Nothobranchius furzeri: one gene and its partners. The protein of the gene in region 2 purifies or fractionates together with the protein of the main gene of each other region. This does not show direct contact. Links are inferred from orthologs where the notes say so. Each region holds a gene or a part of one and is shown on either strand. Other genes may lie near its edges. The genes, in order: cullin-1, ccnd1, cdk5 and cdk1.

Region 1 (7,294 bases), on a different chromosome or scaffold from region 2:
CGACTCTTTGTTCTCCGCCATGACGTGCTTCCTCTGGAGGTCCTCGTGCGTCGCTGCTGTGCTCCCGTGAAAGGAGACTTTCACTCTACAGACCTTTCTTTGGTCTTTGTAACCGTTTTAGCTACGTTGCTGACTCACCGTGTTTTCTTTCTCCGGTGATGAAGGCTGACCTGGATGCCCGCTACTGCGCATGTGCGTTGATCAGAGACGCAGGAAGAAACCACCGAACGTGCTGCGGCAGGCGAGATTTAAAAATGTTAATAAAATAAACAACGCGTCGGCTATTAGATGAATAGTCGACTTTTGTTTGTCAACATTGTCGTGATGAGTCGACTAATCGTGGCAGTCCTACAGATGACACGAATAACCGTCTGATCGTCGCTGATGTGCTGTTAGCATGAGCTCATCACAGAGAAGTTCCTCCTTCTGCTACCTGTTCAGGTTTCATCAGGATCGGATCCTGGAGCAGCAGAGTCTTCAGGTAGAGGAGGGATAAATCTGTGGCGTGCTGACTCGGCACAAACACACAGTGGTTTTGTTTGTGTCTGAATGTAGGCTATCAGACCGCACACACGGTTACCACGGTAATCAGATTTACTCAGCTGACCTTCTTCCTCACAAGCTCCTCACGTCTGTTCCTGAGCTCAGGTTCAGGAGTCGGGAATGGAAACCAGTTACCACAGACCAGAGGGGCCAGGGCCCATTTAAGGCCACCAGTAACAAAGAGAGCACTCGTGGTGGTCTTTACTCTGGGAGGTTCTGGTGCTCCCTCGCGGAAAAGTTTATTTTTGTTGTTTTGTTCCTCTGAAGCGTTTTGGATCAGTTAGGAAGTTCAGCTGCTGGTCACTAAGGTTTTATCACTGGTGTGTTACAGTAACAAAAATGCCCCGAAATCCCAGAATAGATCAGCACCGTAGCGGCGCGCAGCCGCCAGCTCCACGGCCAGCTGCACCGTCAGCCCAAAGGAAGTTCAGGAAACATCAGAATGAATTCCTGTCGGCGTTCCCAGTGTGAGTCAGCCGGAGTATTAACCCCAGCTCATGGAAAACAACAGTAACTGTCTGGCTTAGTGACGCAGACACGAGGATTTATCACCACAGGGTTTACAGCTGCAGCCAGGTCAGGGGTCAAAGGTCATCAGGAACCAGAACCGGTGTCTCAGCTTCCTGTCCTTCCCTGGAGTCTGGGACTGGCATCAGCACCTGCTGCTGCTAAATATAACACACACGCACGCACGCGCACACACACACACACACACTGCATAAATGAGCAGTTAATCTCATCAGTAACGTATGAAGTCTTGGATTATGTTCCTGCTGCAGCTGTTTCCTCTCAGATTAAAGTACAGCGTTATGCTATAATCCCGGCCATCGTTACCTGCTCTGTTTACCTGTGGGATGAAATGACCTGGTTCAGGTGTGAGCTCTAAACATCAGCTGCTAGCAAAGAAGTGGAATAATCTGAGTTTAGCTGAGTGACATGAGGGTGGGGGCAGGGTCAGAGGCAGGGAAACCTGTGGAACTCGCCTGGTTACACTCGATTCGTCACATGATTCATGTGTTTCATCTCTCAGGTCCCCTGGTGAAGACGGCACCACCCAGGGGTGTGGAGTGGGACTGCATCTTCTCACAGCCAACAGCCTCCTGAAGCTCTTCTGCTGTTGCCAGATGGACCTGGACCTGTAGGGCAGCAGCGAGTCAGGACTGAAATCAGCCGAGGAGCGGAGCGGCGCGGCGCGGGAGCAGGAAGGGCAGAGGAGAGGACGAGGGGCTCCACCATGTCGTCCAACAGGGGACAGAACCCTCATGGACTGAAACAGATCGGTCTGGACCAGATCTGGGATGACCTGCGGGCTGGAATCCAGCAGGTGTACACGCGGCAGAGCATGGCCAAGGCCCGCTACATGGAGCTCTACACGTATCCTGCCGGGCCTCCACCCAAACCCAGTTGCATAGTGGTTCTGTTTGTTTACAGTAGTGTCACACCAGGCTCAGAGGGAATAAAACAAACATCAGGAATGTTTCAGAGATCCCAATCCGTGTCCCCGACGGTCCCGACCCGCAGAGGGACGGACTGGTCCAAAAGTGGTTCTACAGCCGTTTACGTGTTTAATCTGCACCAGAACGTTCTCGCAGCGTTAAACCGTGAAGCACCTTTAAAGCTGCTCTGGACAATAAATGAGTTTGAAACATGTTTTCATGCCTCTAACAGCGTTCCAGCGGAGTAGCTATACAAACGTCGTCATGGAGATAAAAACAAAGTGGTCCTCTCACTGTGTCTAAAAACCTCCACCAACTACACGACTCGGACCAAAACCAACCACCCACCCGGGTCCCTGGGTCCTCCACTCATCACCACAGGTGGAAAGAGTACTCAAAGTTCCTACTTAAGTACGAGTACTAATACTTTGATAATTTTTTACTCAAGTAAAAGTAAAAAGTATCGTAAACAAAATGTACTCAAAGTAACATTTTTGTCAGCGTACATCTACATCCAAGTAGTGCTAATTCACAACGCCAGTTCACAATTCACTCGTGTGTCTGCGCGCGCACACACACACAGCAGCATGTTAGAATCATGTGAATGACTAATTTAACTACACTGAACTACTTTAGTAATAATTTAATCTCTTATTCTGGAGTAAAATAAAGAAACAAGCTAAATCATCACATATCTGTGGCATCAAGGAGCATCTTCTGAGTTCAAACACAGGGATGGAGCACAATGTTTACACCTGAACAGTATCAGGATGTTTTAACTCACAGAGGCCTGCAGGTATCCTGTTTTATGAGCAGAGCGCTGAGAATCTGCTTGTTAGGAGCGCTAAACGTTATTTTGCCGCTGCCGTGCGGAGCGGTAGGGAAACACGTTTCTAACACGGAACCGAGTCCGGCTACCGAACCGAGCAGAATTGTGACCGAGCAGAATTGTGATGACGTCACACCGGTGCGTGAAGGTGCGGTTCCAACCCAGAGAGGAGGTGAACAGCGCGTGGATCACAGGGACTGAACCGATGTTTTAGAGCAGAAGTGTACCCCCCCCACCCCCGGTTTAGAGGCGGTGCTCATGCAGGTGTCTCTCTCCGTTCCGACGCTGCTACACGTAATATTTTTAATTTATTAAGCCTATAATTCATTTTTACTCAGTAACGGATATGATTTAAAATTTAGCGAATTACAATTCTTTTTTAAAAACGTACTCAAGTAAAAGTACAGATTTTAAAAACGACTTAAAAATTATAAATATACAAAAAAACTACTCAATTACAGTAACGTGAGTAAATGTAATTCATTACTTTCCACCTCTGCTCATCACACTCACGTATTCAGCAGCACACCGCAGGTGTGTAAGGTCCTCCACTCAACAACACCAGAGTAGGAGAAACAGCCGCTGCTACCGCTTCAGCTGTGGGACAAACTACCAGAGTCCCAAAGAGAAAAACAGACAACAAAAGTCGTTTGGACCTAGAAAGCGGTGACTGGTGTTTAGCGCTATCTCGCTTCCTCCAGCATCGCAGGTTTCTGGTTGGCGGACGCGGATCCAGGGAAGATACCTGAGGGTGGGGGGGCGTGTCTGCTTGTTCTGTAGATTTGCTAAAGTAGCTCTAGGTTTGAGCTGTGACCAGAACCTGAACCAGAAACCAGAAGTTTAGTAAACGTAACAGGTTATTATAAAGTCTCAGATTTTCAGAATAAAACCAGATCAGAACTGAGTTTATGGTAGAAACTAAACAGCTGTGTGGTACTTCCTGTCTGCGTCCTGGTTTGTCTAAAACTAGGAAGCAATCACTTCAGCAGGTTTTATTTATTGGTTCTTTAACCCGTAGAGACACGACGTTTAACACCTTCATAACCATCCCGTTCCTCACCTGTAGAGACCCACAGAGTTCCTGAACTGCTCCTCAGACATGTATATAACTATTGCACCAGCGTCCACCAGTCCAGCCAGGTCAGAGGCCCCTTGGCTCCAGCCAAGCCCTCCAAGAAGTCCACCACCCCGGGAGGGGCTCAGTTTGTGGGGCTGGAGCTCTACAAGCGACTCAAAGAGTTCCTGAAGAACTACCTGACCAGCCTGCTGAAGGTCCGTCCAGCCTGACGCTCGTCACGATATCGAGCTGCAGCTCACTGGTCTAACTGCTGCGTGTCCCTGCAGGATGGCGAGGACCTGATGGACGAGTGTGTGCTGAAGTTCTACACCCAGCAGTGGGAGGACTACCGCTTCTCCAGTAAGGTCCTAAACGGGATCTGCGCCTACCTCAACCGCCACTGGGTCCGACGGGAGTGTGACGAGGGCCGCAAGGGCATCTACGAGATCTACTCGGTAAGGTCAAAGGTCACCCACACCCTGTGTGTGTCAGTGAAGATCTGATAGCCGACCTGCCAACCTGTACTTATTTTACGTAGCAAATGCGCAACATCTAAATACGCCCGTACGACTCACCCCTCTAAAGTACGCCAAAAGCTGCAGGCACGTGAGTTCTGTAGCGGATGTGCACGCCTGGTGCTCATGTCTGCAACACGACGCAGCAGCCTGGCGAAGAAGTTTTAGCCAATCGTCGTAGAAACGCAGGAAGAATATTTTTGCCTAAGCTGTAGCGTAACACCCCCGCCCCTCCTGGACCAGAGTCTACATTAGCAGCTAAACCCAGAACAGACGGCTGGTAAATGTAAAACCCTCAGCAGGTCAGTGGAAGTCCAAACAAGGCAACTTTCTTCTGTGAGTTTGGATTCTCGTGTCGGCAACATGTTTTTCAGTCCTTCAGGTTTATAAACGGCTACGTTTAGTTCAGGAGTTTATTTTGGTCACCCATCAAATAAAACGTTTTATAACTAGAGCAGATTAAAGATGCAGGAAGTAGAAAAATGAGCTGGAATAAACCTTTCCATATTAGAAACTAGAAAGGGAACTAATTCAGTTTAACATCCGGTGAGCGGGAACATTACAGCGTGGAAAACAACGGAGTTGCAACGGTCTGCAAAAACCGCTGCACATGTGGTACTCAAAGATTATTACAAGGTTGGCAGGTCTGTGATGGGTTTAGGTACAATCAGTAAAGTTCACTAATGAGGGAATACAAATCCTCTCTTATAATAAAACAGCAGTTTCCTGATCCTCCCCCTACTGGTGGAAAGTGGAATTACAATGGTCTTAAACAACCCTGCAGTTGCCTGATGTAGCTAGCGCTAACAACGAGCTAACAGATCCACACTGTTGGACAAAAGTATTACTTACAGGTCCTGTAGCAACAAGGCCAGGTCACCATCAGTCTGTGATGTCATTGCCACGAGACTAGCGTAGGTCATGCCGATGTTCACTCTGGTTTTAGCTCTTTGCTTCACCTCCGCAGACATTACTCTCACTTCCAGCCTCCGCAACGATGCCGACAGAGAATGCAAACTTCTCCTTCTTGTGCTTTTTATTGACGATCGATGAATTGAAAAGGCTAACTGCTAGCCTGTTAGTAGCTACCCACATAGATAAAGGCTAAATGCTAGCCTGTTAGTAGCTACCCACATAGATAAAGGCTAAATGCTAGCCTGTTAGTAGCTGCCCACGTAGATAAAGGCTAACTGCTAGCCTGTTAGTAGCTACCCACGTAGATAAAGGCTAACTGCTAGCCTGTTAGTAGCTACCCACATAGATAAAGGCTAACTGCTAGCCTGTTAGGAGCTACCCACGTAGATAAAGGCTAACTGCTAGCCTGTTAGTAGCTACCCACGTAGATAAAGGCTAACTGCTAGCCTGTTAGCCTTTATCTACGTGGGTAGCTACTAACTGCTAGCCTGTTAGTAGCTACCCACATAGATAAAGGCTAACTGCTAGCCTGTTAGTAGCTACCCACGTAGATAAAGGCTAACTGCTAGCCTGTTAGCCTTTATCTACGTGGGTAGCTACTAACTGCTAGCCTGTTAGTAGCTACCCACATAGATAAAGGCTAACTGCTAGCCTGTTAGTAGCTACCCACGTAGATAAAGGCTAACTGCTAGCCTGTTAGTAGCTACCCACATAGATAAAGGCTAACTGCTAGCCTGTTAGTAGCTACCCACGTAGATAAAGGCTAACATCCGTTAAGCTAGGACCCTGACCCGCACCACCAAACTGTTTCTGGGCGACAGACGGCGTCCCACATGAGGCTGGTAAACACACACACACACACTGACCTCTGACCTCATGTTTCTGCAGCTGGCTCTGGTCACGTGGAGGGAGTGTTTATTCCGACCGCTCAACAAACAGGTGAGTCTTCTAGACGAGTCGGAGATGAATCAGCTGTTATTTCTAAACGTTAACCCCCCCCCCCACACCACCACCACCACCAGGTAACAAACGCCGTTCTGAAGCTGATCGAGCGCGAGCGGAACGGAGAGACCATCAACACCCGACTGATCAGCGGAGTCGTCCAGTCCTACGGTGGGTCTTCTGGGTCGGGTCAGAACTTCCTGGGTTTCATTTATTCATCAGGTTTTTACCTTCATTCTGGGTCGAGTTCTGCTGCTCAGAAATGGGTCGGGTTTCAGCAGAACTTAGTCTCTGTGTGGGCCAAAGTGAGGGTTAAACTTGTGGTTCTGCTGGTTCTGGTCTGTCCTCCAGTGGAGTTGGGTCTGAACGAGGAGGACGCCTTCGCCAAAGGTCCCACGCTCTCCGTCTACAAGGAATACTTTGAGTGTCAGTTCCTCACCGACACGGAGCGCTTCTACACCCGGGAGAGCACCGAGTTCCTGCAGCAGAACCCGGTCACCGAGTACATGAAGAAGGTGAGCCCCTGCAGACGTCTGGAGGTGAGCGGGTTCTGGTGTCCTGGTTCCGTCTAAGCGAGTCTGCTGGTTCCTCAGGCAGAGGCCCGTCTCCTGGAGGAGCAGCGCCGCGTTCAGGTCTACCTCCACGAGTCCACGCAGGACGAGCTGGCCCGGAAGTGCGAGCAGGTCCTCATCGAGAAGCACCTGGAGATCTTCCACACAGAGTTCCAGAACCTGCTGGATGCCGACAAGAACGAAGGTGAGGCTGGGAAACATCATCAGAGATTTTTGTGTTTAATGGGTTCTGGTTCCGTCCGCTCCAGATCTGGGTCGGATGTACAACCTGGTGTCGCGGATCACCGACGGTCTCGGAGAACTGAAGAAACTTCTGGAGACTCACATCCACAACCAGGGCCTGGCCGCCATCGAGAAGTGTGGAGAGGCTGCGCTCAACGTACGCAAACACTTTGTGAACCATCGGGACCCGACAGAACCTGTAGGACCAGGAGTTCTTTTATGGATCGGTTCAGAAAAGCTGCTTTTGTCTTTCAGGACCCAAA
Region 2 (7,765 bases):
CACAAAACCTAAAATATTGTCCCCCCATTCGAAAATAAGTGCATTCTTGGTATCAAAATGCATCTTTAAAATTCACGGATATAATATGTGAAATCCACGGCACAAAACAAGCAGAATTAGAAAATAGCATTTTATCCCCGTTGATTTGCACACATACACATACATGTATGTATGTATGTATGTATGTATGTATGTATATATATATATATATATATATATATATATATATATATATATATATATATATATACATATATAAACTCTCAGCAAGGAGGTTGATTTAACCTGAAAGTTAGTATGGACCAAAGTGCTAAAAAAATAAACAGCTGACCTTCCTTTGTGCCATAGTTTGTTGTGCTTTAAGCCAACAACACTGTGAGTTTTCACGTTTTTGAACGTTTTAAAGATGAAATCAAAAGTCAACAATGCAGCTACTATCACAGTTAACCCTGAACTTTTGTCCTCCATGCGGCAGCCCTGGCATTACTTTCTATTTGAGAGACTGATGTGGTCAGCAGTATGAGACTGCCTGCTGGCTTCCCACTGTCTCTTTAACCATCTACTTATTGTTACCATAAAGCTGCTGAAAGAGCCTCACTTCAAAAGTCACATGCTCCAGCTCCCTTTGTTTCCCACAGGATCTGAATGTGGGACAGAGAGGACATGACTCAAACAAGAGGACAGGATCAGACTACAGCTGGTGGGAGATTTTTTGTTTGAAGTCACTGCAAAGTTATTTCCAAGTAATACTACAACTACTACCACTACTACTACCACACTGTAGTGAGTCCTCTGACTCTGAAAGGTGCTATACAAGTGTAAATCATTTGTCATTTACTACTACTACTACTACTTATACTAATAATAATAATAATAATAATAAAAGTGGTTATCAGATGAAGAGTTTTATGAATGAATGAACAAAGGCGACCAAACAACAGTGGGCTGATTGTGTTTTATCTCAGCTCACATGCGAATCAGAAAGGATCTCATAACATCTCAATATTTCAATGAATCAGAATATGAATCTTAACAAGATTCCAAAGTAAAATGTGAAAGTGAGAGGTTCTGGTCAGAGCGACCCGGGACGCTTCACTCGCAGTCAGGAAAGTGTGTAAACTTCTGTTTTCATCATTGTACGTTTTTGTGAGTGTTTTGAGACTGTTGTTTTGAGATTGTCATCACATAAAGCACAATAAAATGTATTATTGTTATTAAATTTATTATGATGTGTTTCTGTTTGGAGTTGTGTTGTTTTCTTTACCCTGACAACAACAAAGTGAGCCTTGAGGACAGTGGCCAGAGAGGAGGCTCTATTCAGGCATTACGGTAGTGAATCCAGCAGCCAGAGAGGAATTCCAGGAATGCTCAAAGGCTCTGACTCAAATTGAAACTAGACTTGGATCTTCTGAGTTTACACAGCAGCTGTGTCCACGAACAAGTTGGTTCTGATCCAACAAGCTCTCTCACCACTAATATGTTCTACTGGCTGAATAAAGCAGCTCAAAGAGGAACATCTGTGTCTAAAGATCCAGTTCACACTTGGACTGGGTCAACCACCATCACCCAAAACAGGATTCTGCCTGGTAACAGCAGGTCCTCCCATTGGTCCAACCCCTGTGTGTGTGTGTGTGTGTGTGTGTGTGTGTGTGTGTGTGTGTGTGTGTGTGTGTGTGTGTGTGTGTGTGTGTGTGTGTGTGTGTGCGCGTGTGTGTGTGTGTGTGTGTGTGTGTGTGTGTGTGTGTGTGTGTGTGTGTGTGTGTGTGTGTGTGTGTGTGTGTGTGTGTGTGTGGATCTAGTAGGGTTAGGGTTCTGAATGGAGGTCTCATTTTAGTGATGTCACATGTTCTGGACCATGTGGTTCCTGCTGATCTGAACCCAGTAGGGCTCACAGGGAACCTAGCAGAATCCAGTAGAACCAAAACTCCACCAGTAGGTGTGAACTGAACAGAACCAGGGTCCTCTGTGGAACTCAGTACCAGAACTACAGAGTTGGACCAGTACTCGGTCTAGTTTTGGGTCGTGATAAGGTGAGATGAATGAGTTACTCCCCCCTCCTCCTTGTGTCCTCTGCTGTTCATTCACACCGAACCGAACCGGCAGCAGGACAAAGGGGGAGGGTCACTGCCGCCCCCTGCCGCCTGTTGGGCCCGGAGGCCCGGTCCCAGACCTCCCACCTCCTCCTAGGGCTAGAGGGAGGAGGGCTCTTCCTGCTCGCGCGCTTGCAGACCGCTTCTCTTTGATCTCACCTCCTCCCACCGCGGCCCCGCCCCTTAACAACAGCCTACGTCACCCGCCTTTACTTGTTCCCAAGCGAAAAAGCCGTTTGTGTGTGGGCGTACAGACACGCGCGCGCAGGGAGGTGCGCGCGGAGGTTTTGTTCGCCAGAGCGAGGCGGTCCGGACCTCAGAGGACTCGCGCACACCAGAGGGGCAGCAGCACACGGAGCAGCCCTGACACCGGGATTCAAAAATACCAGATAGAAAAGACACCGGGCCGGTTCTAGCAGGACACTTGTACCGAACCGGTTCTCTCTGTGTTCCGAGCCAAACCATGGATGAGCAGCTGCTGTGCTGCGAAGTGGACTCCATCCGGAGAGCCTACCAGGACGTGAACCTGTTGAATGACCGGGTCCTCCGAACCATGCTGCGGGCCGAGGAGAACTACCTGCCGGCTCCGAACTACTTCAAGTGCGTCCAAAAGGAAATAGCTCCTAAAATGAGGAAGATCCTAGCGACCTGGATGCTGGAGGTGAGTTTTGATTGTCCCTGGGAATGGTTCCGGTTCTGATCCGGCTGCCCCATCCAGCTCCGGTTTGGACCCGGTCTGGACTGCCGTACCGAAGGCAGTGAGGTCGAACCGATCCGGATTTACTCCAGAATTCACAGTAATGTACACGTATGCAGTCCGGCCCAGCAGGTCCGGACAGTGCGCCATCTTTGCCACCGACGAGATAGGATTTAAAGTCCGTTAAAACCAGTCAGACATCAGCCAGAACCGAGCCGGACCCACCAGGCTCCACAGAAACCAGACCAACTTCAGTTCCACTGGGTCTAAAACTGTCTTGGTTCCGAACGGCTCCGCTGAGGATGGCAGACCAAAAAAAAAAAACAGTTTTAAAGGATGAAAGGGTACCAAATGGGTCTGAAGGTTCGGCTCAGTGTCTCCGGTGTTCTCACGCGTCTGCAGAAAGACTCGGTCCTATTCTGGTCATTTTTATTCATTTTACAAGCTGCCTGGACCGGTCTGGTCCGGACCCGAACCGAGCACGCGAAGGAGCCTCGTGCCCAAACCCAACAGGTCCCGAGGGGCCGGTGTGTCCGAACGTACCGAGTTCTGGTGATTAAAGTGTGTGTGTGCGTGTGTGAGATAGAGAGAATGTGTGTGTGCGTGCGTGTGTGTGTGTGAGACAGTGCGTGTGTGGAGGACTCACCTGTCCGCTCCTCTCCCTTCAGGTGTGTGAGGAGCAGAAGTGTGAGGAGGAGGTCTTTCCTCTGGCCATGAACTACCTGGACCGGTTCCTGTCCGTGGAGTCCAGCAGGAAGAGCCGCCTGCAACTGCTGGGAGCCGCGTGCATGTTCCTGGCGTCCAAGATGAAGGAGACGGTTCCGTTAACGGCGGAGAAGCTCTGCATCTACACGGACAACTCGGTCCAGCCCGGAGAGCTGCTGGTAAGGGCTTTAGGACCGTGTGGGAGGCTGCTGCAGGCACACCAGCAGATCAGGTGTTTAGAAGAAGAAAAAGTTTCTCATTTAGCAAACATCAAGATAAAGAATCACGAGGCTCTTCACAAGAGCCAACAATAAATACTAATATAGAAAATAAAGTAAACAGGAGAGCCTGAGAGAGACAGAAACACCAGCATGAAAAGAAGCCAGTGAGGAAGAAGAGGAGATCAACCTCATCTTCATCACTAGCATCTTTTTTGAGGTGTCAAAAACCAGAACAAAGGTCACGTCACACTTCACCTGCAAGGTTGTCCTCTCCTCACGTGTGTCCATCCCACCAGAAGGTTGTGGGAGATGGAACAAATAGTGTTCTTCTGGAGCGTCTGACAGGCTTGTCTGGTGGTCTACACTGACCCCTAGTGGCCGAGAGGTGCAGCAGCAGGCAGACGCTGAGTTAACGTCTGATTGGTTGTTCTGGTCCACCCACAGCAGATGGAGCTGTTGGTTCTGAACAAGCTGAAGTGGGACCTGGCTTCAGTCACGCCTCATGACTTCATCGAGCACTTCCTGTCCAAACTGAAGATCCATTTGTCCACAAAGCAGATCCTCAGGAAACACGCCCAGACCTTCGTGGCTCTCTGTGCTACAGGTGGGTGCTGGACGTCAGGATTCAGGAGTGGATCCACACACACACGCACGCACGCACACACACACACACACACTAGTGTTGTCAAAAAAATCGATACCTAGATATAAATTGATACTAAAAGTGGTATCTAAATTAGATATTCCATCCCTGTGGTATCGATATTATGGACTATTATACACAGCCTTCTTCAAGTACACCAACACGCACGACAGCCAGATGCCGTAAAGAAGCCTCCGCCTCCCAGACAAACAGAAGAAGAAGATGCCGCATGGCTACATTGCAATTTCCCACGCGAGTTGTCTCCGATCCAAGTTTTGTCTGCCAAATAATAAACAAAAACATAAACAGCGAATTTGGGAGGCGCTTCACAGCCCAACTTCATTAGCATACCAAGTCCGACACGTAGTTGTATATTCACGCTTATGTGCTTAAAGGAAAACTCCCATTTATTGCAACCCGGACTTAATTTCTAGCATGCAGTACGTTTGTTTACTCACGCTGACAACTTTGGTGCTACTTGGATTCTCCGGGGTATTTAGATCCATCGGCAAATCGCCATCAGCGTATATCCATATAACGGGTGCGGACGGGCACCCATGGTGCAGCCTTGAAATAAGACATTATCTGCACCAAAACATCTCTATGTCGAAAGGTTTAGTTAGGAATCATTAACATGATTCCCCTGTTCGTTTGGAGCGGGTCTAGGATTTCTAGGCGTGAACAGACTAGCCGCGGCTAATCTAACCGGTGCTTTTAATTACGTCACTGCTGTGCGCCAATCTGTTTTTATTAAGATTACCGGTAGATGTACCTTTGTCCTACTGTGGAGAAATTCGTTTTCTCCCTTTATTGACCAACAGAGTTGTTCAAAAGTACAGAACAAAACATATGGCATTACATCTTATGACAAAAATGCACCTTAAACAGAGTTTAAGCAGCAAAACATCACTCTGCAAATAGTGTGTATATAGTGAGACAATTCATGATTTAAAGTGTTAACTTTGGCCAGTTTTTGTATGCACTTTTTAAAAAATGCTGATACTTGAAAGGTTTAAGCACTTAATACAATTAATTCTTAACATTTAATTTTTGCAATATAAATTGAGGAATTTTATTTTTTGAATAAACTTGTTCAATAAATTGGTGTTTTTAAATAGTATCGAAATCGAGCATCGAGTTTTTTCCAGTATCGAATCGAGTTTGAAATTTTAGTATCGTGACAACCCTAACACACACACAGACACACGCACTGTCTCTCACACACACACACACACACACACACACAAGCTCACACACACACACACACACACACACACACACCAGGGTTCCCACTCTATTCTTGAAATTATTTTCAAGACTTTTTCAGTGTACAAGTCAAGTTATCATAACTACGGTTTGCCGATATCCCGTTATATTTAGAAACAGATATGATATTGTACCTACCTACACCGTTATTTTGACAATATAGTTGGGGAAAGATTTTTGTCTTTCACAAGCCCACCTGCTTTCCTCTACTTACAATGCAACACAACTAAAGCAGAAGTTATTCTCTACTTGAGTTCATACCAGAGGTGTGACATTGTGGCATCATCAAGTCATCTCCATGTCCTGTTTTTGTTCTGCTCAGCAATTGAACCAGGTTAATCCACTGTGCTGAATGAAATCGTTGTCGTCTTCCTCCGCTTATCCGGGTCTGGGTCGCGGGGGCAGCATCCCAACTAGGGAGCTCCAGACCGTCCTCTCCCCGGCCACCTCCACCAGGACCCCAAGGCATTCCCGGACCAGATTGGAGATGCAACCTCTCCAACGTGTCCTGGGTCGACCCGGGGGCCTCCTGCCGGCAGGACATGCCCGCAACACCTCCCCAGGTAGCTCCTAACCCTATCTCTAAGGCTGAGCCCGGCCACCCTATGGAGGAAACTCATTTCGCCACTTGTATCCGCAATCTCGTTCTTTCGTTCATTACCCAAAGCTCATGACCATAGGTGAGGATTGGGACGTAGATCGACCGGTAAATCGAGAGCCTGGCTTTCTGGCTCAGGTCCCTCTTCACCATGACAGATCGGCTCAGCGTCCGCATCACTGCAGATGCCGAACTAATCCGGCTGTCGATCTCCCAATCCCTCCTACCCTCACTCGTGAACAAGACCCTGAAATACTTAAACTCCTCCACTTGAGGTAGGACCTCTCTTCCGACTCGGAGTTGGCAAGCCACCCTTTTCCGGTCGGGAACCATGGTCTCATATTTGGAGGTGCTGATCCTCCTCCCAGCCGCTTCACACTCGGCCGCGAACCTACCCAGCAAGAGCTGAAGGTCAGAGCTGGATGAAGCTAGGAGGACCACATCATCCGCAAAAAGCAAAGACAAGATTCTCCTGCCATCAAACTCGACAGACCCCACACCACGGCTGCACCTAGAAATTCTGTCCATAAAGGTAATGAACAGAACCGGTGACAAAGGGCAGCCCTGGTGGAGTCCAACCCTCACTGGGAACAGGTCTAACTTTCTACCAGCTATGCAGACCTAACTCACGCTCCTCTGGTAAAGGGACTGAATGGTCCTTAACAGAAAGCCACCCACCCCATACTCCTGGAGCGTCCCCCACAGGGTGCCCCTGGGGACACGGTCATAAGCCTTCTCCAAATCCACAAAACACATGTGGATTGGTTGGGTAAACTCCCATGCCCCCTCCATCACCCTTGTAAGGGTATAGAGCTGGTCCACAGTTCCACGGCCAGGACGAAAACCACATTGCTCCTCCTCAATCTGAGATTTGACTATCGATCGCGCCCTCCTCTCCAGTACTTTTCCAGGGAGGCTGAGGAGTGTGATTCCCCTATAGTTGGAAAACACCCTCTGGTCACCCTTCTAAAAGATGGGGACCACCACCCCGGTCTGCCACTCCACAGGAACTGCCCCCAATGACCACGCAATGTTGCAGAGACGTGTAAACCATGACAGCCCTACAACATCCATTTCCTTGAGATACCCAGGATGAATCTCATCCACCCCCGGGGCTCCGCCGCTGTGTAGTTGTTTGACTATCTCAGCAACTTCTGCCCCCGAGATTGGACAGTCCATCCCCATGTCTCCTGGCTCTGGTTCCTCCTCGGAATGTGCATAAGGGCGATTGAGGAGCTCCTCAAAGTATTCCTTCCACCGTCCGACTATAGCCCCAGTTGATGTCAGCAGCTCCCCATCCCCACTGTAAACAGTGTGAGCGAGTTGCTGCCTTCCTCTCCTGAGGCGCAGGACAGTTTGCCAGAACCTCTTTGGAGCCGATCGATAGTCTTTCTCCATGGCCTCACCAAACTCCTCCCACGCCCGAGATTTTGCCTTGGCAACTGCCACTGCTGCACCCCGCTTGGCTATCCGGTACCTGTCTGATGCCTCCAGAGACCCACAGACCAACCACGCCCTGTAGGCCTCCTTCTTCAGCCTAACGGC
Region 3 (7,946 bases), on a different chromosome or scaffold from region 2:
AAGTAACATGAAGGAATTTTAGGAGTCGATTTAGATTTGGGACTACATTATGGCAAAGCAGCGCTGCAAGCCGCCGCTGCAAGACGCAAGGATACGTTGCAGCGGCCACAAAAGACACCTGCTTCTGTAAACACAAATGCGTGAGCCGCACTGAGTTTTTACTGCCGTTGTTTGAATGGGTTACATTTCTAATGCGAGAAAATGGCTCTTGTTTGTGTAGCAAAGGGATGCAAAAACATGCAGCTTGTTTCACAGAATTCCATCCAATGTGGAACAAAGATAACCGCTTGCTGCCCTGGGAATTCCTCCGTCAACACCCGTGGAGAAAATAACTCAACATCTGGTTTGCAAGGAGCATGTCACACCAGAGGACAAGAGTGAAAATTTAGGATCATTACTTTCCCACAGCATGCTAGCTGTTACCATTCACTTACACTGTTTATGCTAAGCTAAAGCAAGTGGAGTGCGGCCCGATTAGGAGAATTCCAACTCTGTGGAATATGGCAACAGATAAAAGTTCATGAAGGGGTGGAATATCCCTTTAACAAACGCATCTCATTCATTTCCAGGTCCTTAGCAAGTATTTCCATCCTTTTCGGACAGGTCAGTACCACTAATTAATGCTATATATTGTTTATACATCATATTCGGTTTTATTTGGAGCCAAGCTGATGCCGTCTATAACATTATTCACAGGTGGTGAGAGGAATAAGCTCCGGGGCTCGGGTCTTTGAGTACCTCTCTTTGCAGCCAACCATCCTTCTCTGTGGAGGAGGACGAATCCCATATCATTCTCTGACTGGAAGAGTGGACTTCCTGAACATTTCATTCAGGTAGAATTCCTCTAATATTCAAGACACTTCAACACAATATCAGGATATTTAATGAGTTAAATAAAATGTTCATAGTTATCCAACGAGACCCGGCCACGAAGTCCTGAAGAAGTTTAACTTAACGCTGCCGCCCTGTAAAACCGTGGCAGTTGTCGGCGAATCTGGAGGAGGTGATTTTAAACGCTGGCTGGTTTCCTGTTAGAATATAAAGTTGAATAATTACTGGTTGATAAATGTGAAACCCCCGTAGGAAAGTCCACCGTGGCTGCCTTACTGGAACGTTTTTATGACCCAACAAGTGGTGTGGTCATGTTGGACGGGCTTGATATCCGAACGCTGGACCTGTCCTGGCTCAGAGGGCAAGTCATTGGATTCATTAATCAGGTAGAAAGTGCAATCAGTTAATTATCTGAGCATGAGTATATATACAGCTTTTGTTTAGGTTTAAACTTATGTTCATGTGCTGTTTCAAAGGAACCTGTTTTGTTTGGATCTTCCATCATGGAGAACATCCGCTTTGGGAAGCCAGACGCCACAGATGCTGAAGTCATTAGTGCAGCAAAGCAAGCCAACGCTCACCGCTTTATTACCAGTTTCCCAGATGGTTATAACACCACGGTCGGTATGTGGGTTTGTTATCCAAACCGTCACGTTCAGGTTGGAAATTGTGTTGCTTGTAAATTCTAAAATCCAGGTCTCCAGGTGAGCGAGGTGTGACGTTGTCAGGCGGACAGAAGCAGCGCATCGCCATTGCCCGAGCTTTGATCAAGAACCCGAGCATACTGGTGCTGGACGAGGCCACCAGCGCTTTAGATGCAGAGTCTGAACGAGTGGTCCAGGAAGCTCTGGACAGAGCCACACGAGGCCGCACTGTTCTCATCATCGCCCACAGACTGAGCACCATCCAAGGCGCCGACCTCATCTGTGTCATGAGCAACGGTCGTGTTGTCGAGGTGAGGAGGATGCGTATCCAAGGAAGCAGAGGGACTCTGACCTCTGATTAAATGTCTCAGTTTATTAAAAAAGATGTTTTCTTTCTTTGCAGGCTGGGACACATTTGGAACTACTGGGCAAAGGAGGACTCTACTCTGATCTGATCCGCAGACAAAAAGCCGAGGGGCAAAAATAGACACAACAGTTTGTTTCCAGTAGACCAGTTATATATATAAAAAACATTTGTTTATTAAATAACATCAAATGTGTAGTACATTTACCTGCTTTCAGTTTAGCAGCAGCTTAGCTATACATTTTAAACAGTTTGTGTTTAAGTATTAATGGACCAATGTGTTTATTTCAAAATACACTACTGTGCAGATAAATTAAAATAAAAATATAGCCCCTGGGTTTTTGTCTATCTTGTATGGAAAAATAGTACATAAACATTTAAAAACTAAAACATTATTAAACCGTTTAAAGTATAAAAATTTGAATCTTGTTTTTGTGATCTAACTTTTGGGAACTGCTGTTTTGATGCTTTCTGCGTTTCCTTTGAAATGCTTCAGTTATTTCAGAATGTTCTTTAACTGGTGAATCTTTAAACACAGAGCTCAGATATCCTCTAGCACTAAGAAAAATCTTTACCAAGACACCACACCTAGTATATTTGCTGTCTTAGTAAACAGGATTACAATCTTGTTTACAAGGCTTAACAAATAAAGCGCTGAGGTTTATCGGACTTTGAAATGAGGTTTATTCCATTAGATGGATAAATCAGACTCTCTGGGAAACGTTTAAAAAATACAAATGTAACCTGATGGCTTTCAAGAGAACATTTGCAGTCAGAGATTTGATTTGAAACGATCATCTTACAAATGAGGGGATGCAGTCTAAGAGTGTTTTGTTCAGATATCTGTCTATAATGAATCTTAAATTGTTAGTATGGTTTTATTATCTAAGAGCAGCAATTTCCTAATGTTGTGATTCCTCGCACATGTGACAATAAAATCCTTCTGATTCTAAAATTAATTTGACCCCAGTGGCAGTTAAAATGAAACGTTCATTTTATATTTCTGTCATTTATAGCAAGTCATTTATAGTAAATGTGATTTTTTTCTTTTAAAGTTCAACATGACTTTCCCAGTGGCTATTATTAGATGGTGCTTAGGTATTATGGAGTCAGTATCAAATAACGATGCATTAATCAGAGATAATTAAAACAACAGTTTTTCCTTCTTTTCTTTCGTTAAATATGCTTAACTTAATGGCTTTTTATTTTAGTTCTCACTGAGTTAAATATTATCTTGCCTTTATTTGTTGAAGCTCCAAAATAACATTTTCCGCATCCAGCAGTTCATATTTTGCCCTCTAGGTGTCAGCCAAGAGCGCACCTGTTGTTGCGGTCTAAACAGAACACTGACTCACTGAGCCTAGTATCGGCGTTAGCTTCTGCAATATTCTAGCCACCCCAGGCTCGGGGTTTTGTCCTTCATTTGTTTGCAAGCTTCATCAAGGCTCGTTTCACTCACAGAACATGCAGAAATATGAAAAGCTTGAAAAAATCGGAGAGGGTGAGTTTATTTGGGGCAATATTAGCTTGCTGAAGTAAACGCTAACATAGCATCAATGCTAGCTCAGGGCTTGCTGAATTAGACTTGTGTATATGCTATATATTTTGTTATTCATATGCATAGTACTTAAATTTAATGCAAATCTGCGTGAGTTTGCTTTATAAACGTAAGCCGATTCCTATAAATTTCACGGTGCCAGTAACAGGCTAGTGGTGGGTATGTAAATAAATAGCTAACTAGCTGCTTTGGCATTCATCCGGTTTGTGACAACTGGACATTATTTATTTTGTAGGTACATATGGGACCGTCTTCAAGGCAAAAAATAGAGAAACCCACGAAATAGTGGCGTTGAAACGGGTCAGGCTGGACGACGACGACGAGGTTGGTATACTAAAATATAGATAGACGCTAATGTTTAGCTTGCTAGTGCTAACCCAGATAGGTGTTTTTCAGGGAGTGCCAAGTTCAGCTTTGAGAGAAATATGTCTTCTTAAGGAATTAAAGCATAAGAACATCGTCAGGTCTGTTTACCCAGAGGAGTTAAAAAGCAGCATTAAAATAATAACTTGATGCCAAAATGAATCATCTGATTGTTTTTCTCTCCAGACTACATGATGTGCTGCACAGTGACAAGAAGTTAACCTTGGTTTTTGAATATTGTGATCAGGTTAGTTACTAGTTTTCCAAATATTCCCCCTCCTTTTAATATAGACATTATGTTGCTAAAGTGTGTTTTCTTGTCCAATATAGGACTTGAAGAAGTATTTTGACAGCTGTAATGGCGATCTAGATCCAGAAACTGTAAAGGTGACATGAGACATGACACCTGGTTGCCTTGATAGTTACAGGTTAAATTGATTGTTACTAAATTTAACTTCTATTCTTGAATTCCCTCTGCAGTCGTTCATGTACCAACTGCTGAAAGGCCTTGCTTTCTGTCACAGTCGAAATGTTCTTCATAGAGATCTGAAGCCCCAGAATCTCCTCATCAACAGAGTAAGTATCAAATCAGGAATTATGCTCTTTTTGTTACGCAATGCTGAATTCAATGTTCATTAAAGAACCACAGCTAAATGCTGTGCTGGTGGTGGGATTAATAAAGAAATGTATAAATTGTTTCTTCATCTGTAGAACGGAGAACTGAAGCTAGCTGATTTTGGGTTGGCTCGAGCCTTCGGCATTCCTGTCAGATGTTACTCAGCAGAGGTAAGTTGGACATTAGAATTTTTTTTTTAAAAGTAGGGGAAATTTCTGAATCTGTTGCAAGAGAGAAGCCAAGATGATTTTATTTGCAATTTTTTATACAAGTGAGATTTAAAATCTAGAAATTAACTAAAATGTAGTACACATAGAAATATGTGTGGGTTGCTTTCACACTATGTTTGACATTAAACTGAGCAACAAAGACAGATCTGTGTCCCTCTGTGTGCATATAAATGTTAAGTGGGTTGTTCAGAGGGACGTGAAATTTTAGAAATTTGTTTATTATCTGAAAAAATGATAAGACTGACCTCAGGACCAAGCTTTTATGTATGAAAGGCTCAACCAGAGTGACACTACAATGTAGAAATGTGGCAAACTGAAAACTTAAAACACTGAGAGTTTGAAATTAGGTCATTTATAAGATTGTTTTATTTCAGAAAACAAAAAGATCATACCTCTGTTTGACAAAATGTGACAAATTATTTTTATATGCAACATTTACAAAGAGTTGGGAAGTTTTTCTTGTGTTCAATCAAGTCTAGCTGAGATTCCTGCATATTTATGGAGGTTGGAGGTTTTTTATGGAACTGGAATTGAGACAATATGTAACTTGTACCCAGCTTTGTAACCTGTAACATGTTTTGTAACTGTAACTTTTATTTTGTAACTTGCAGAAAACAATCAATGTACAAATTTCAAATTACAACTTTCAACACACAAATCTCAGTCTACAAGTACAAAACATTTTGTCCAAATTCTAGCTTCCTTCCCAAAGAACCAATGACAGGCTTTGTCTGACCAGCCAATCATGAGTCTTGGATTCCTTTTCAAATAAAATTCCTGTTTCCTGCAAGCTAGAATTGTTCCTAAATGTTTTGTATTTGTAGACTTGAGTTTTGTAACTAGACTGAGATTTGTGTGTTGAAAGTTGTAATTTGAAATTTGTACATTGTTTTCTGCAAGTTGCAAAATGAAAGTTTCATGGTATGTACCGAAGTTAAGCCGGGCGTACACTGTGCGACTTTTTCACTTTTTTGAGCCGATTTTCCAGTCGTGCGAGAATCCACGACATCGGGGCGAGTTTTGCGCCGAGCGGTCGTGTAGTGTGCAGGGGGTTACGAGAGGCGATTAACACCACGTGACCAGCCGCCGATCAGCAGTCGTGAGGTCGCAGGGACTTCTGGTGTGTTTAATATTTTGCTCATCCCTCGTGAGGGTATCGCACTGTTGAAGCAGCGCTGCGAGCAGCTGCGAGCAGCTACGATCCAAAAAAGTATCAGAACCGCTCACGGCGCATGCGCGCGCAATCCTGCATCAACGCCGGCCGGTCGCTCGCTATTTCCCTAATAACACACGCTGTTCGTTTTTGTTTCTACACGTTTTTTTTACTCACAAAGATTGTCAAGAAAGCGTGTTTGTCGTGTTCATGTCAAATTAAACTGATCACAAAACACAGATTCACTTTCTTTATTTCATTTTCCTCATTCAACCCCCATAAGTCTCTGTGTGTCCTCCTGCAGCACTCCCGAAGGACAACAGGCAAGACAAAAAAGTCTGACGTGTTGAGTAAAAACTGCTATTTTTAGCACATTTTTAGGGCCGACGTGTTGCTACCAGACGTACAGTGTGAGCAGTCAGATCGCATGCGAGAACTGGGTCGTACAGTGTGAGCACACGACTCGTGAGATCTGCTCTGCGAGGAAGTCGTACAGTTTGAGCTGAAGCTGAACGCTGCGAGTGAAAAAGTCGCACAGTGTACCCCCGGCTTTACATGTTACAAAATGAAAATTACATTCTACAACGTCATAGTTACAAAACATATTACAAGTTACAAAACTAAGTACAAGTTTAATGTAATATTGTCCCAGTCCTAGTTCCATAGTTTTTTATATGTTGGGACCGGGACTTCTTTACTCATTATTTATCCTATTTCTTCAAACCTTTTAGCAAAACTTCTAAAGAATTCTTCTGCAGCTTGAAGTTAAACACCAAAAGTTACTTCTGTCAGTTTTAAACAAACTCGGTAGTATAAACAAGCACAGCTGTTTCAGGAGAAATCTTGCACCTTCTGTGAAGCTTTTTGTTTTTCTACAGGGTGTTCCTTTACCTCAGTGACACGTTCAGTTCATTCATGTACAAAATGCTGTTTCAGTAACAGGTGGCCACATCATTAACATCAGCATCGCTGTGAGAACTTTTGATCCTTTGTTGCTGAAAACCAGCCAGCCCACACACTGTTCTGTTAATGCATCATAATTTGGACTTCTACTGCACTTCAGGTGACAGTGTTTTCCAAAACTTGGAGGAATAAATGTAAAATAGCCGGCAATGCAGCAATTTGGTCAAATGCACCAACGCTTGAGTTAAAATGGAGGTGGGTGTAGGTTAACGGTGCTGCGGGAACTTCAAGTTGGATTCACCTCAAAAAGCACCAAAACACTGGGCTGTTGTAATGCTGCTAACGTCTCTGCAGGTGGTGACGTTGTGGTATCGACCTCCAGATGTCTTATTTGGCGCTAAACTTTATTCTACCTCCATCGACATGTGGTCAGCCGGGTGCATATTTGCAGGTTTGTTATTTTTTTCCACTTGTGAATGTGAAAGGTAAAGTTTTTATAAGTCATTATTTGTGTGTAAATGGTTAAATATTCATATTTTATCTACTTTAGTAATTTGATTACTATTAGCTAATAATTACAACTGCAGTTTTATCTCATGCAATTCTTTTACTTTGTACAAAATAAAATCCAGATGTATAAGAATGCATGGGAAGTTCAGGTGCAGTAAGCACAGTGGCTTTTTAGCTGATGAGGAGAATTTATTTAGCCAAATATGTATTTTAAGTTTCAGCTCAATTACTCTCAACAGTAGCTGAAGGATTATTTATGCCTGCTTAAGTGAAATCAGTGACACCGTTGATGCTTTAAATTATGCTAACTTATGCTTCCTCACGTCCTCTTGTGAATCAGAAATCATTTCCTCCTCCTCCATCACTCAGGAAAGGGAAATCTCCTCTTGTAATCACCCCAAGGGGATGAGAGGATTCTGAAGAGTAGTTATTCAAAGTTGTGACCTTCCTCACACCTGTCCCTCGTGCCTTCTCTCAAAGTAATTGTTGGGAATATTTTAGATATTAGATATCTTCCCACACAGGAGACTACAACTGTTTCCTCGGTAGAAATGGAGCAGTCCTGATGGTGGTTGTCACTGGTCCTGCTTCTGCTGTGTGTGCGCATTCAGTTTCACTTTTGTTTTTGTCCGTGCCCGTGCTATTGTCTTGATTTTTAATAGGTAGCCGCCACCTGGTGGCGTTAACCACGGTTAATAGTCAAACTGGTTAATCCTGCCACAGCCTCCAATGTAGACCGCACCAATGTTCACTCTTTGTCCAGTTCATGCTTTC
Region 4 (7,294 bases), on a different chromosome or scaffold from region 2:
ATATACAAGTGATAATGCTGCTGTAATTCATAATTGTATCCTTCTCAGAAGCAGCATTGCAGGTGCTCTCCATGTCCAAAATGAGCATAAGTTTTTCTGCTAAGTTTTCGTGGAAAGTTGCAGTTTTCCGACCCCGTTTTGTGCGTAAGCAAGCTTGATAAATGAGACCCCTGGTTCTCCTGTTTAGATGGGGTTGTACATTAAAGCTTCTCTTTCCAGAGCTACCTTTATCAGATTTTGGAAGGAATTTATTTCTGTCACTGCCGTCGAGTCCTCCACCGGGATTTGAAACCTCAGAACCTGCTGATTGACAACAAGGGTGTTATAAAACTGGCAGACTTTGGCTTGGCTCGAGCCTTTGGTGTTCCTGTCAGGGTCTACACCCATGAGGTGAGCATCTTTCACACCAAAGCCATAAATCCTGGACAGCGCACAGCTGTCAGCTTACTTATGTTACTACTCTGCTGTCCTTAGGTTGTAACTCTGTGGTATCGCGCTCCAGAGGTCCTTTTGGGCTCAGCCAGGTACTCAACCCCTGTGGATGTTTGGAGCACTGGAACTATTTTTGCTGAGCTTGCCACCAAGAAGCCGCTATTCCATGGAGACTCAGAGATAGACCAACTCTTCAGGATTTTCAGGTATATCCAACAAATTTCCAGTTTAATAATGGAATCGGGTAGCTTATATGGTTGCAAGGATTAAGCGATTTGACTACTGACCACGGTGTGAAACGCTGCAGTGTCTTCAGTCAGAGGCTTCTTCAGTTTGGCTGCAACACTGACCGCTACTGGAGATCCTTCCTGCCAACAGCCCTTGTAATATACAATAACTCTGATGACTTGATTATTATTATTATTCTGAGCTACTTGTTAGGTTTTAACTTATGCTTTACCCCTTACTTTAAGATGCTAAGAGGACAGAGAAAAGATAAGAACAGATGAGAAAGAAACCTGGGTATAAAAATATTTTCCTTATTTAATTAAAACACACATTATTTTTGTTACACAGCTTACACTTGTTCTTGGGGCTGGAGGTTCTAACAAATGCCACTAGACACAGCCCAACTACGAAAAAAAAGGTACCAAAGGAAAATCACAGCTTTTAATTAAAAGCTGGAAAACAGACTATAATCAACAGATCTCAGGTAGCTTTTAAAATGAAATAGTTACATAGGCTGGTACGAGTTTCTACGGGTTTCTATAAGCCAAAAGCTCTCTGAAGCCAAACAAAACGAACCTTTTAAAGAACAGAGAATTCTTGGTTTTCTGTCCAGGCAAATATACCAGTGTGAAGCAATTGGCACTAAATACTACAAACCACTGACTCAAGCTTAAGCAGAATACCATGCAGAGGCTTTCCTCTAAACACGCGCACGTAATCACAATCGTATTCTACAAAGTCAGGGTGTCCAGAACGGAGCAGAAAAGGAGACTACTCATGGGTTAGGAGTAGCTCCTCGGGCGTGTATCCAGCGTTCCTTTTATCCCCTCACGGGAACAAACACACTCAGTCCAAGATGAGCTGCAGGTGTGGCTGCAGCAATTCGGAGCGGGGACTTCCCAATAGCACATTGACGCTGATGATTTTGACCATCAGAACGAGTTTACAGTTATAGTCTCAGCAGGTATAGTCCTGTAGTCCAAAAACAAACACTTTTTGGAGAAAATATGTTTGAATTTTCAAAGGAAATGTAAAATAAAAGCAAAGATGTCAACTGATAATCAGTGACCCTCAAAAGCTCTTGATTTTGATTAATCTAAAAACTTTATTGAAAAGACACCAAGCAAAATTTTAAATGAATGAATGTATTTACATGACAACTAAGGAAATATACGGATTAATTCCACATTAATACAAACAGATACAGCTTCACATACAAGAACTGTTGTTTTTTGCAGGGGTGGACCTTTAAAGCGCCCGAGCGCCAATGGCGCAACATTTTCTCGTCGGGCGGTAAATACTTGACGACTTACCGCCCGGGTGGCGCCCAAGCCTTATTTGTCATTTACACACCGGCTTTCACCTACATCATGGCCCCGCCCTGTAGGAAGCTGCCGTTTTCGTTTGGCGCGCGTGAACCTGCGCGCCTCTAGCCACGTACTGCACGATTCTAGTTATTGTCACGTGAACTATAAGTTCACTATTAAAGACGAAGTGGAATCACGCTAGAAACACACAAGCACGCAGGAAGATCGCGCCACCACAGGGATTGGATTTCTTGATGAAATCTCCGGCAAAACGCTTGAAAACTGGTGAGGAGAAGCGAGACAGTTCGAAACGGTATGAAGCAGAGAAGCGTGTGCATAGGTGGAATGATTCTTGGCGGTTTAAAGAAGACGGGAGGCGCAGAGAATGGGCGTGTTCGAGTTGAGCAGCGCCTCGCCTGGAACACAGACGAGAGCAGACGGAAGCAGCAGGGGGAGTGGCTGAAAGCCGGCGTTTAACGCCGGGGACACACCGGCCGCGAAAGCGCCCGAAGCGAATCGCTCACGAAGTCCGACCGCTGCTCGCCGCTCCTCAGTTCAGAAGCGCCCCATTCGAGGCGCGCCTCGGCTCAGCTATAGTTTTTCTTTTATCTACTTGGTGTCCTCCATTTCCTCAGCTCTTTTCCTCTACGTGTGAGCGAGAGAGAGAGCGAGAGAGAGAGAGAGAGAGAGCGCGCGCGCCTTTGGTGTGAACCAGTTGTTTCTGCCAGTTGAATCTCTTGGACTTCCCTGTATGTGTACCGCCTTGATCTCACGAGGTTATCGTTGCCTACGTATGCATGACGTCAGAGCAAGTCGGCGTCAATTTGGACACAAATCTAACCGGCATGCACTGCTCGCCGATCACCGGTGATCTAATCTGCACAGAACTGGCTCATCTCGAACACAGTCAATGGCTCGAGTACAGCAAAGCGGAGTTGGTGATGTACTGCGTTGTATGCCGGAAGTATGCGACGACAAAATCTTGTTTTGTTGAGGGAACAAACAAATTCAAACTTGAATACGTTATTATGTTTGTGAATGTGTACAAAATAAAGGTTTATTACATTTAAAACTGTTCAGTTGTTATTTTGACTCGTTTTGGCAGCTGACCAGCGGGGCCGGTAAATATTCAGAGTTACCGGCCCGGCTGGCCGGTTGGTTTTGAAGTTAATGTCCACCCCTGTTTTTGGGCAGTCTGATGTTGGTTTTATGTAGTTTCACATTCTTTACAAAACAAATACTTTGATGCCGTTAAACAAATAACGAGCTTCTCATTCTCTATCGACCTCCATCTTGGATTGCTATGAAACAGTGGCTCAACAATAGAAGCGTGAATCTGTGGTCACCAGGTGTGCAACCATACTTTTCGCACAAATCGTGCTGTTTTCCACCTCACACTAACTCCTACGTCCTGAAACAGGAGCATCGGGTTTTTTCCTACAGAGAAAATCTCACAAGCCATTCATACCAGAGACCATAGAAGATTTATAGAAAAAACGTGTTTCAATCAACAGCTGGAGTTTTGGAGAAGACAAACATTCCAGATGTGTGTCCTAACACACGGGTCAGGACCCAACCCACCATCTGCTAACAGTTAGTGGTGTGTGAGAGAAGCTTGTATGATAACATACTAATGCTAGTAAATGGCTGTAAGGGGGTTACAGTAGCAGCATCAGGTTTGTGTTGATTAGACTCATTGCTGACAACCAACTAAAAAGGAAATGGCTGCTTTGACAGAGGAAGATGATGAAATAAATGTTTGAAGAGCTTTTCTGGCCCTCAGCCAATCACAGATTGAGGTGTTAAATTTGGTCAATGCCCTAGGACATTAGGACATGTAGTTGGGAGGCTGGGATTGAACCACCAACCCACTGAGCCACAGGTGGCCCAGACCATTTCATTTATTTTGTCCCCCCTTTTTTTCTCCAGGACACTAGGAACCCCAAACAATGATGTGTGGCCTGACGTGGAGAGCCTCCCTGACTATAAAAACACATTCCCCAAGTGGAAATCTGGAAACCTACCATCCATGGTGAAGAACCTGGACAAGAATGGATTGGACCTGCTAGCGGTGAGGATGAAGAGTACACTGAACTTCTAAGATGTAGTAATGGCCTGAGCTGGATGGGAGGAAAGTCGAGCATGGATCAACTTCTAATATTGGAACTGGGACCAAAACATATTAATCACAGATGAATATTTGCTAAGTACAGGGATTTTAGTTGGGACTGTTTTGGTTGACAAGGCTCTGCAGTATCGCGTTGAATCTGGGGTGGTTCCATTAGATCGGCAGACTGGGGTGGTGGTTTCCCATATTTAAGAAAGGGGACTGCAGCGTGTTTACCAACAACAGGGGACTCACACTCCTGAACCTCCCTTGTAAGGTCTGCTAGGGTGTTCTGGAGTGGAGGGTCCGTGGGATTGTCGAACCTCAGATTCAGCTGGAACAGTGTGATTTTCATACTGGCGGTGGAACACTGGACCAGCTCTGTACCATTAGAGGGATGCTGGAGGGTGTGTGAGGGTTTGCCCATTCAATCCCAATGCGTTTTGTAGATTTGGAGAAGGCATTCGACTGCGTCTCCTGGGAGGCCCTGTCAGGAGTACTCTGAGTATTGGGTACCAGGCCCTTTGATATGGGCGGTGCTTTTTAAAAACGTGCTCATAAAGAGTACAGTAAGCTGATTAAATAGGCCCATCCCAGGCAAAAGCTGATATATACCAAGTCTGAGGATTGCTGTAAAGTTCTGTCGCAAGTGTAGATATATACTTCCGGCCACGGACCCGGCATTAAATTTTACTGAAAAGGTATTAAATGTCACTATGTCAAACCTGGAGCTACCCTGTGAGAGTCGTAGCACCCCTCAGAATACGCACGAGTGGTTGAAGAGATGCTCCCTAGGAGAAATGAGTTGTCTTGCAGATTAAACAAATAATTGGTTGATTCTGAAAAAGGACGGTTCTTTATGCCGCTAAAATGATATTCCGTTGAAAGGTCTGGTTTGATCTCCCAACGAGAGGTTAATTTGGCATGAAGGCTGGACACCCTGCTGAACTGCCTTAGGAAGTGCTTCCTCTTTTAAGGGTTCATTGTTTCTAAGTTTTGGACAAATCACAAGCCGAAATTGTAATGACCATTATCCAAGTGTCCTCGGACATCCCTTTTCTCAGACACTTAGAAAATCTTATGTGAAGTAAATCTGTTAAAAATCCAGCCGCAGAGTGTGGAGCGGCTGGGATAAGAATCAGCTCCTCTAAATCCAAGACCGTGGTCTTGAATCGGAAAAGGGTAGAATGTAGGGCGGCCACAAATGAGTATTTCAGTAGTCGACTAATCGTGTCATTCATAAAAGTTTAGCTTATTGCACCAGGATGCCAGGGGTGGACATTAACTTCAAAACCAACCGGCCAGCCGGGCCGGTAACTCTGAATATTTACCGGCCCCACCAAGAATCTACCGGCCCCACTGGTCAGCTGCCAAAACGAGTCAAAATAAAAACGGAACCGTTTTAAATGTAATAAACCTTTATTTTGTACACATTCACAAACATAATAACGTATTCAAGTTTGAATTTGTTTGTTCCCACAACAAAACACGATTTTGTCGTCGCATACTTCCGGCATACAACGCAGTACATCACCAACTCCGCTTTGCTGTATTCGAGCCATTGACTGTGTTCGAGATGAGCCAGTTCTGCGCAGGTTAGACCAGCGGTGATCGGCGAGCAGTGCATGCCGGTTAGATTTGTGTCCGAATTGACGCCGACTTGCTCTGACGTCATGCATACGTAGGCAACGATATCCTCGTGAGATCAAGGCGGCCGCAGATTTTGGAGCAAGGCGCTGCAGCTGCTCTCCCTCGGCTGCAAAACCTAGAGGATGACGGAAACGCCTGGCTCTCACCTGATCTAAGATCTGATTGGTTCATATTTTGATCCAAACATCCGGTGGTAGAACATGAAATGTTAGTTGGTCACATGTATTCTGTAAATCATGTTACGCTGATAATAACAACAATATAGGCCATAAAGAGAAATGTGTTTTGTTTTCTTTTGTCACGTTTCCTATGAGCACACTAAACCTACAGCTGCTAACCTTTACTTATTATTACAGTCATGTTTTCATATACAATATATGATATCCACAAGCACGTGAGGATGTGTTTCAGCTGCTAACAGGCACCAGAATTAAAATTGAAAATTGAACAAGTGTGAATGCTAACGCGATATCTTCATCCATCGTCACCCCCGAGCTACACATGTAGGAAAATCCAAGAGATTCAACTGGCAGAAACAACTGGTTCACACCATAGTCTCTCTCTCTCTCTCTCTCTCTCTCTCTCTCTCTCTCTCCTCCCTCTCTCTCTCCTCTCCTCTCCCTCTCCCTCTCTCTCCACTCACTCACTCACTCACTCACTCACTCACTCACTCGTAGAGGAAAAGAGCTGAGGAAATTGAGGACACCAGGTAGTTAAAAGAAAATCCACAGCGGAGCCGAGGCGCGCCTCGAATGGGGGCGTCTGATTTGAACTGAGGAGCGGCGAGCAGCGAGCAGCGGCCGGACTTCGTGAGCGATTCGCTTCGGGCGCTTCCGCGGCCGGTGTGTCCCCGGCGAAACGCCGTCTTTCAGCCACTCCCCCTGCTGCTTCCGTCTGCTCTCGTATGTTTTCCAGGCGAGGCGCTGCTCAACTCGAACACGGCCATTCTCTGCGCCTCCCGTCTTCTTTAAATCGCCAAGAATCATTCCACCTACGCACACGCTTCTCTGCTTCATACCGTTTCGAACTGTCTCGCTTCTCCTCACCAGTTTTAAAGCGTTTTGCCGGAGATTTCATCAAGAAATCCAATCCCTGGTGGCGCGATCTTCCTGCGTGCTTTTGTGTTTCTAGCGTGGTTCCACTTCGTCTTTAATAGTGAACTTATAGTTCACGTGACTATAACTAATCGTGCAGTACGTGCACGAATCGTACGAGTGCAGTACGTGGCTAGAGGCGCGCAGGTTCACGCGCGCGAAACGAAAACGGCAGCTTCCTACAGGGCGGGGCCATGATGTAGGCGAAAGCCGGTGTGTAAATGACAAATAAAGCTTGGGCGCCACCTGGGCGGTAAGTCGTCAAGTATTTACCGCCCGACGAGAAAATTTAGCGCCATTGGCGCTCGGGCGCTTTAACGGTCCACCCCTGGATGCTCTAATCATTATAGGGTTGGGCATCGAGCATCAATTGGAACTGGTTCCAACAGTTCATTTTTCCCGGAATCGTTCAAAGTTTTTTATTTTGATTCCTAGTTTCGACTCCTAGAATGCCGACTGGATGAGGAATCCGCGGC

Evidence for each region.
Region 1: the proteins of ccnd1 (region 2) and cullin-1 purify together in Homo sapiens (affinity purification with western blotting; 4 studies listed by BioGRID). This does not show direct contact. The link is inferred for Nothobranchius furzeri from reciprocal best matches to the Homo sapiens genes CCND1 and CUL1.
Region 3: the proteins of ccnd1 (region 2) and cdk5 purify together in Homo sapiens (co-immunoprecipitation; 4 studies listed by BioGRID and IntAct, counting the BioPlex papers as one, with this or other methods). This does not show direct contact. The link is inferred for Nothobranchius furzeri from reciprocal best matches to the Homo sapiens genes CCND1 and CDK5.
Region 4: the proteins of ccnd1 (region 2) and cdk1 purify together in Homo sapiens (affinity purification with mass spectrometry; 4 studies listed by BioGRID and IntAct, counting the BioPlex papers as one, with this or other methods). This does not show direct contact. The link is inferred for Nothobranchius furzeri from reciprocal best matches to the Homo sapiens genes CCND1 and CDK1.

The regions. Positions count from the first base shown.
Region 1 is NC_091747.1:63,543,590-63,550,883, forward strand, and holds part of cullin-1, read left to right. Parts: intron 1-1,573; 5' UTR 1,574-1,777; coding exon 1,778-1,917; intron 1,918-3,905; coding exon 3,906-4,080; intron 4,081-4,152; coding exon 4,153-4,320; intron 4,321-6,183; coding exon 6,184-6,234; intron 6,235-6,317; coding exon 6,318-6,408; intron 6,409-6,588; coding exon 6,589-6,752; intron 6,753-6,830; coding exon 6,831-6,993; intron 6,994-7,057; coding exon 7,058-7,188; intron 7,189-7,286; coding exon 7,287-7,294. UniProt on the Homo sapiens protein: Core component of multiple cullin-RING-based SCF (SKP1-CUL1-F-box protein) E3 ubiquitin-protein ligase complexes, which mediate the ubiquitination of proteins involved in cell cycle progression, signal transduction and transcription.
Region 2 is NC_091749.1:21,575,239-21,583,003, forward strand, and holds the start of ccnd1 (G1/S-specific cyclin-D1), read left to right. Parts: upstream 1-2,376; 5' UTR 2,377-2,553; coding exon 2,554-2,751; intron 2,752-3,455; coding exon 3,456-3,671; intron 3,672-4,157; coding exon 4,158-4,317; intron 4,318-7,765. UniProt on the Homo sapiens protein: Regulatory component of the cyclin D1-CDK4 (DC) complex that phosphorylates and inhibits members of the retinoblastoma (RB) protein family including RB1 and regulates the cell-cycle during G(1)/S transition.
Region 3 is NC_091751.1:49,902,922-49,910,867, forward strand, and holds the start of cdk5 (cyclin-dependent kinase 5), read left to right. Parts: upstream 1-3,166; 5' UTR 3,167-3,303; coding exon 3,304-3,340; intron 3,341-3,632; coding exon 3,633-3,721; intron 3,722-3,793; coding exon 3,794-3,861; intron 3,862-3,946; coding exon 3,947-4,007; intron 4,008-4,090; coding exon 4,091-4,147; intron 4,148-4,240; coding exon 4,241-4,336; intron 4,337-4,471; coding exon 4,472-4,546; intron 4,547-7,016; coding exon 7,017-7,113; intron 7,114-7,946. Other genes in the region: abcb8 (mitochondrial potassium channel ATP-binding subunit), read left to right, coding at 570-603, 697-833, 909-1,003, 1,084-1,217, 1,308-1,455, 1,536-1,786, 1,879-1,962. UniProt on the Homo sapiens protein: Proline-directed serine/threonine-protein kinase essential for neuronal cell cycle arrest and differentiation and may be involved in apoptotic cell death in neuronal diseases by triggering abortive cell cycle re-entry. Interacts with D1 and D3-type G1 cyclins.
Region 4 is NC_091752.1:60,134,608-60,141,901, forward strand, and holds part of cdk1 (cyclin-dependent kinase 1), read left to right. Parts: intron 1-219; coding exon 220-390; intron 391-474; coding exon 475-638; intron 639-3,896; coding exon 3,897-4,038; intron 4,039-7,294. UniProt on the Homo sapiens protein: Plays a key role in the control of the eukaryotic cell cycle by modulating the centrosome cycle as well as mitotic onset; promotes G2-M transition via association with multiple interphase cyclins.